2 linked regions of the Callithrix jacchus genome follow. The protein of the gene in region 1 interacts with the protein of each later gene in a biochemical or structural test. Links are inferred from orthologs where the notes say so. Each region holds a gene or a part of one and is shown on either strand. Other genes may lie near its edges.

Region 1 (3,655 bases):
TTTAAATGAGGGAAGTGTGGGAGTCCTTCAGCTTTATTCTTCTTTCTCGTGATTATTTTGGTTATTTAGAATCCCTTGGGATTCTGATGCATTGAATCTCTAGGTTGCTTTGGATAATATTGACATGTCAACAGTATTAAGTCTTCCAATTCATGAATGTGGGATGTGTTTCCATTTATTTATGTCTTCTTTAATTTATTTCAGCAGCCTTGAAATTTTTGTTGTCCAAGTCTTTTGCCTCTGATTAAGTTAATTCTAAGTATTTTTATTATTTTGAGTATACATTAATTCCTTCCAAAAGTTTTTCCAAGGCTTTATCAGTTTCAGATACTGGTCTTACATGCACACATTATGCGAACCTGTGTTTGTAGTCATGATGGGCAGTGGATTTTGTCATCTGGGTTTCACTGAGGTTTTTCTTTCCTTAGATGATTTCACTGTGATTGTTTCTTTGCCATATCTGGCAAGGATTTTTTTTTTGAGATGGAGTTTTGCTCTGTCTCAGCTGGAATACAGTGACACGATCTTGGCTCACTGCAGCCTCTGCCTTCTGGGTTCATGGAATTTTCCTGCCTCAGCCTCCCAAGTGGCTAGGATTATAGACGTGTGCCACCATGCCTGGCTAATTTTTGTATTTTTAGTAGGTTTCACCATGTTGGCCAGGTGGGTCTCAAACTCCTGACCTCAGGTGATCTACTTTCCTTGGCCTCCCAAAGTGCTGGGATTACAAGGATTGATTTTTAACCATTTCTGTAGCAAGAGTTTATTATTACATTTATTATTGGGTTTCTAATGGACACGAAGATTGAACACCACAAACTAGTAATAAAAGCAAATAACATAATAGTAAATTTGTTGCTGTTTGAGTGCTTAAAGTATGTAGAATTAGCTTATTGAGTATATTTCCCACATACTGTGTTACAGAGCTATGTAATTTATACAGAGCTATGTAATTTATTAGATAAGTAAGTTGGTTTTTGAGTAATGACCAGTGTGCTTTTAACGCTTTGAGGACATCAAGATTCAGTTGCTGAATTCAGTCCAATATTTTTCTTTTTTCTAGGGCAAGAGGATTATGACAGATTACGACCGCTGAGTTATCCACAAACAGATGTATTTCTAGTCTGTTTTTCAGTGGTTTCTCCATCTTCATTTGAAAATGTGAAAGAAAAGGTAAGCTGATCAGATATTCTTGGCCTAAGAAGGTCATCCCATAATTTCTACTGACCTGTAATAGAGGTTTGACCTGCATTAGAGGTTTTTGGATTAACAAAGGTGTATTTTAAAATACCTTTTTTTAGTGGGTGCCTGAGATAACTCACCACTGTCCAAAGACTCCTTTCTTGCTTGTTGGGACCCAAATTGATCTCAGAGATGACCCCTCTACTATTGAGAAACTTGCCAAGAACAAACAGAAACCTATCACTCCAGAGACTGCTGAAAAGCTGGCCCGTGACCTGAAGGCTGTCAAGTATGTGGAGTGTTCTGCACTCACACAGGTAAGGATGGCATGAAATCCCATGAGTGTTTACGGTCTAGTCATTTATTAGAGCATTCGGATACAGGAATTATTTCTAACAGTGATCAGCAGTGCCCAAAGATGCCCAGCAAGAATATGAGCAGCTTCATATTGTATACTCTTTTTGTTAGAGGCCTCAGTGTTTTTTGGAGAATAATTATATAGTTTCTAAACTGCTTGTGTTGGTAAGCTCTCATGTTGTACTGAATGATTGATCGAAAACCTTACAGGAAGGGATAGCCTGGGGAGAAATGCTAAATGTGGGTGAAGGGGAGAAGGAAAGAAAAGCACACTGCCATGTGTGTTCCTACGCAACTGTCTTACATGCTCTGCTCATGTACCCCAAAACCTAAAATCCAATAAAAAATTAAAAAAAAAAAAAAAAAAAAAAAAAAGAAAACCTTACAGGAAAGGTTCAGATAAGCACAAATTTGCAAGAGAAGAGGTGAATGATTTTTTTTTCTAGGCACTTAAATTTTCATCTAAATACGTCTCATCTTGTCTTGCCGATTCTGACAATTGATATTATACTGTTTCTTGGGTAATTCAACCAGGATAGGGAATTAGTCATAATGATTGAGACTTCCATGTCAAAGAAGGTGGCCATGGCTATTTCTGCCACAGTTCTTAAGCATGCTTTATATAGTGTTTCTATTCCTATGTTTTTGGAAGTATTCCTTCCTCATGTGGACCTCTCTTTCATTCTGGCCTTTTTTGAGTGATTTAATTGGAATTCCTTTAGTAGTCTGATGGGAAGCTCAGATTTTGAGGATAGGGAGCAATGTTAGGGTATTTAGAATGGGACTTGTAACTGATGTGTATGGTTTAAACTTTTTCGCCTTCATGATATCGTCGATTCTGTCCTTTGAGTACTGTTCTGGGGGCAAAGGAAAAAATTATGGAAATAATTAGCACAAAATTCTTATGTTCAGTACTGGTGCTTTGAAGTTGGAACAGTGAGCAAACATGCCTAATTAAAATAGGACAAGATTGAAGGGTGGAGGTTTCTAATAATTATATTAAACTCATTATATATTATGCTTGCTTTTTCAGGTAATTGTTCATTTTTATTTTTTTTAAAAAACATTATTGGATTCTTAACTCCATGTATACGAGGGTAAATGGCATACATATATGATTACTTATTACATATACACTAGGTATTTAGTTTATAGGGCCTAGTATAATTTAATAGGCTTCAATTTAGTACTTGGTTGGATATTTACAGTAAAACTTGGATGCTTAACTGGGATATCCCTCAGGATAATGTCAGGGCCTAATACCAGATGCTTTAAATATAATCTTCTAATCCTAGTTTTTGGGGCAGTTTAGTGCTGTTATAAAAGCAGCTGTTTAAAAGTTTAGAAGATTTTACATCTTCTCACACACAGTACTGTTTTGAGAGTTTAAAAAAATGGATAGTGCTGTTTTCTTTGTTTTAATAACATTCCCAGAAAAGTGTGTGTGTGTATACAGAGGCACAGAATGTCATGTGTGAAACACTTGTGTCCGTGTTAGACATTAATTCTGTGTGCTTCTGATGCATACTTCTGTTCTCTAGATAGGGGTTGCTTTGAGGGAAAACACATAGGCCCTGTGGATCCACTTTTACGTCACTAGTAAAGCTTTAGATAATTGGATGCTTTTAATGTAAGATTTTTAGCGTCAACAGATGTATATAGTAAATCACTTCATAGCGAATGTGAAGTTTAAAAGGTCTTAGCAGGTGTATTTTTCGTAGGAGAGTTTGAAGTATGGAAAAGTCAAAAGAGGAGAATTTATAAAATGGGGTCTGGTCGTTGTGTTTGGGAGCTAGAACTTTTAGGATTACAGATTCTGTTTGTTGATTCCTCTAAAACTAAAGTCTTAATGTAAACAGATAATGGTTAAGCAAAGATTATAGAGAAAGGAATTCCTTCTTGTTAATGGATACACTCGAGTTTCTAATGGTCCTCCTCCTCTTTTTTTTCCTTATAAAGTATGTTTTCCTTTCTGTACTCCCTCCTTCCTTTTATATTTGACTAGGAACCAGAGTTGGTTCCTAGATGTGTAGAAAGGATTGCAGAGGAATTTTAACTTTTATATAGCATTTCTACTTTGTGAATGATGTAGAAAGAAGAAAGCTTTTTAACCTCT
Region 2 (3,655 bases), on another chromosome or scaffold:
CATACGTTGTATTACACAATACAATACTATTACTCAGAGCTAGTACTTTTACTTCAAAACTGCCTATGCACAATGCTTTGGAATGTATAGAGCCTAAACATTTTTAGATTTCTCTTGATTAATCCACCCACAGTCAATCCAGCACTAAGAATTAATCCTCTTTTCACTTCAAGCTGATAAAACAATTGTTAAATATTTGCTTGTTTATGACATTAAACTCACAATTCTTTGTTCTCCTTAATGACAGAAGTGCTATAAATACATAGAGCAATTCTTACAACATGTTCAACTTAAGAGATTCCTATTGATTCTTCTCAGCTTTATCTAGTTTCCACCTATATGACAAAATAATGGTAACATCCAGAGGTATGACAAAGTAGCTACCTCCTGTCCCAATGCAACATCAGTAGCAGTGAAAACTGTACCAGAAGCCCTATGGGAGAAAACACACAACCAGATTTAAGGTTTATAAATCACTAGCATTTACAATATCCAAAGACTTTACACTTCAAGCAATTAAAAAAGAATTAAAGAACAGTTGAGACCTAATGTGCTTAAAAGGAGTAAAAGCAAAAACATAAGGAAAGGGATGGGGGGAAAAGAAAGAAGCACTCCTTATGGCCAAAACTTATGTCTGAAATATTTAAGACCTATAAAAATGTAGAGAAAAAAGAGCAAGAAAAAAATATATAACATATACTTAAATACTTCCCTGTTTAAGATACCAAAACTATAAATAATTTGAAGATTCTCATGTGCCCTTTCCAATAGCAGCCTCTTTCCACCCAAAGGTGATCTGTATTTGGTGTTTATCCTGTATTTGACGTTCATCATTTCCATGCATTTCTCCATACTTTTAACTACAAAGGACCCAGGTATGTATCCCTATAAAATATACTTTGCCTAATTTTTAAATGTCATATAGTTTCATTTCACATATTATTCTGCAATTTGCTTTTGTTACTCAACACTGGATTTGTGATGGCCATCCATATGGCAGGGCATTGCTTGTTCATTAATACTCAAAAATATTAGGATAACCTTCAATTCTCCTTAAAACAAAACAAAACAAAAACCAGTGCTGAAATTGAATTTAGCTGTTAGGAAGAAATTCAAGTCTGGTGCTGTGGCTCACACCTGTAATCCTAACACATTGGGAGGCTGAGGTTGCAGTGAGCCAAGATGGTGCCACTGCATTCCGGCCTGGGTGACAGAGTGAGACTCCAATTCAAAAAAGAAAAAAAAAAAGAAAAACTCAAATCGAAGTTTTCAAAAATACCTTCGGCACTCACTCTAAATTCACAGAATGCTTTCCAGAGTTTAATAACATTAAAAATCTAAAGTGTTTATTTGCTTCCAAGCAACAGAAAAACGTTTAGTCAGTACACTTAAAAAATACAAACTACAGAACAAAATCAGACCAGTAGACTCAAAAGTCAATACTCAAGGACATGATTGAAATGCACCTTTTTAATTGCATATAATCCTGCAGTAAATATTCTTACTGTCTTTTAAATATATTTTATGGACAATTCTTCCCTCTAACCAATCCTTTACCATGAATGAGAAACGTCATTTAAGAAAAAAAAAAAGATATACAGTCACTGCTAACAACTAGCACAGTTTTTTAATAGCATCTAGAAATAACTGCATTATTTATTTACACAAATCCCCAAGGGTACTGCTCACAGAATACTATAAGTGCTCAATGTCAGCAGGAAAAAGAAATATCATGTTATAAAGCCAAGAATGAATATTATGGTAACACAGTCACAAATACTTACCCTTGTCCAATTTTTTCATATCTTGTATATTTTTTCTTAGGGTCACCTATGCTCACAATAGTTCCTAGAATAAACAAAAAGCTGGAAGCTCAGTCAAGCATTTTAAGTGTAAATTAATTTTGATATTATTATTCCTTTTGATAAACTCCACTTTTTCATATGTGGTTTTCAAACATAACACTAAGTTTCAAAAATAACATGTTTTAAACACAAAACACTAAAGAAACATAAATACATAATAAAAGTTTAAAAGTATCAGAAACAAGAAGACACATTATTTCCATTAGGTTAGACCTCCTAACTAATTTACTCAATAATGGTCACAGTTTGGAAAGACTGCACCAGTTTGCCAGAGATTAATTAGGTTCTCGGATGTTCAGCTTTAGAATCAGGTAATCTCAAGAAAATTGACAAGCTGGTCACTCTATTTTCCTATAAGACTGAAATATATTAATAGATATATTTTAACATATCTGTTAATAGGTAAGTTTGAAACTACTTAGTATTAGAAATAATAAGGGCTATCTAAACCCTAAATGGTCTTTCTGACTCTTCCAGTATATATATCATCTATCTTTCAATATATTTAGAAAACCACTTACTACCATAAAGATTACTATGCTCTAACATAAACTAATCATATGGTAGTTTTAGGAAAGTTCAAAGTCACAAGAAACAAGTTTTAAAATTAGAAAGCTGAACATAAAATCATAATTTATATTATTACTAGTAGTCAAAATGTAAGAAAAATCACACTAAACTTTCACTTGCTCAAGGTAAAAAGGATAGGACCATATCAAGGAAACTCACATAAATAATTTTATGTAGGTATCCAACCTCAAGTCAATAAGCAAAGGAACAGGATCCACAATAAGAGACTAAGAGCAAAAAGATATCAAAAAGCCTGGGGATGTGATAGCTAAAAGTGACAAATGAATGACGACAATTAGGATTCTAGTTAATCTTTTTTTTTTTTTTTTTTTTTTTTTTTTAAGTAGCAGCTCTCCTACAAGAATTCCTATATGCCCATAGAGTAACAGAGTAGGCTTGGTGTGGTGGCTCACGCTTGAGGTCAGGAGTTTGAGACCAGCCTGGCCAACATGGTGGAACCCCATCTCTACTAAAAATACAAAAACTAGCTGGGTGTGGTGGTGGGCACCTGTAGTCCCAGATACTCAGGAGGCTGAGGCAGGAAAATTGCTTTAACCCAGGAGGCAGAGGTTGCAGTGAGCTGAGATTGCGCCATTGCACTCTAGCCTCGAGACAGAGTGAAACTGTCTCAAAAAAAAAAAAAAAAAGAATAAGAGTAAAAGCCAGGTTTATACTTGAAAGCACTGATAAATCAAAAGCAAATAAACCTAGGGCATATAAATGATTGTTTATTTTTTAGAGACAGGGTCTTACTCTGTCACCCAGGCTGGAGTACGGTGGCACAATCACAGCTTACTACATCCTTGAACTCAAGCAATCCTCCTGCCTCAGGCTCCCTGTTAGCTGGGAATACATACCACCATGCCTGGTTATTATTTTTTTTTTTTTTAAGGTAGAGACAGGGTCTCATTAAGTTGTACAGTTTGGCCTTGAACTCCTGGACTCAAGCTATGCTATCTTGGGCAGCCAGTGTACTGAGATTACAGGTTTGAGCCACTATGCCCAGCCTAAATGCTTAAAACAATCCTTCCATAAAGTATTTTTCCTTGATCCCGCTAGATTAATATTCTTTTAATTATTATTTTTGATTTATTATTATTTTTTGAGACTGAGTCTCACTCTGTCACTCAGGCTAAAGTGCAGTGGCACGATCTCGGCTTACTGAAATCTCTGCCTCCCAGGTTCAAGCAATTCTCCTGCCTCAGCCCCACCAGTAGCTG

The links.
Region 2: the proteins of CDC42 (region 1) and PAK2 form a complex in vitro, tested with the Homo sapiens proteins (4 studies listed by BioGRID, with this or other methods). The link is inferred for Callithrix jacchus from reciprocal best matches to the Homo sapiens genes CDC42 and PAK2.

The regions. Positions count from the first base shown.
Region 1 is NC_133508.1:58,846,072-58,849,726, forward strand, and holds part of CDC42 (cell division control protein 42 homolog), read left to right. Parts: intron 1-1,063; coding exon 1,064-1,173; intron 1,174-1,301; coding exon 1,302-1,499; intron 1,500-3,655. UniProt on the Homo sapiens protein: Plasma membrane-associated small GTPase which cycles between an active GTP-bound and an inactive GDP-bound state. In active state binds to a variety of effector proteins to regulate cellular responses. Involved in epithelial cell polarization processes.
Region 2 is NC_133516.1:25,329,359-25,333,013, forward strand, and holds part of PAK2 (serine/threonine-protein kinase PAK 2), read right to left. Parts: intron 1,849-3,655; coding exon 1,785-1,848; intron 434-1,784; coding exon 385-433; intron 1-384. UniProt on the Homo sapiens protein: Serine/threonine protein kinase that plays a role in a variety of different signaling pathways including cytoskeleton regulation, cell motility, cell cycle progression, apoptosis or proliferation.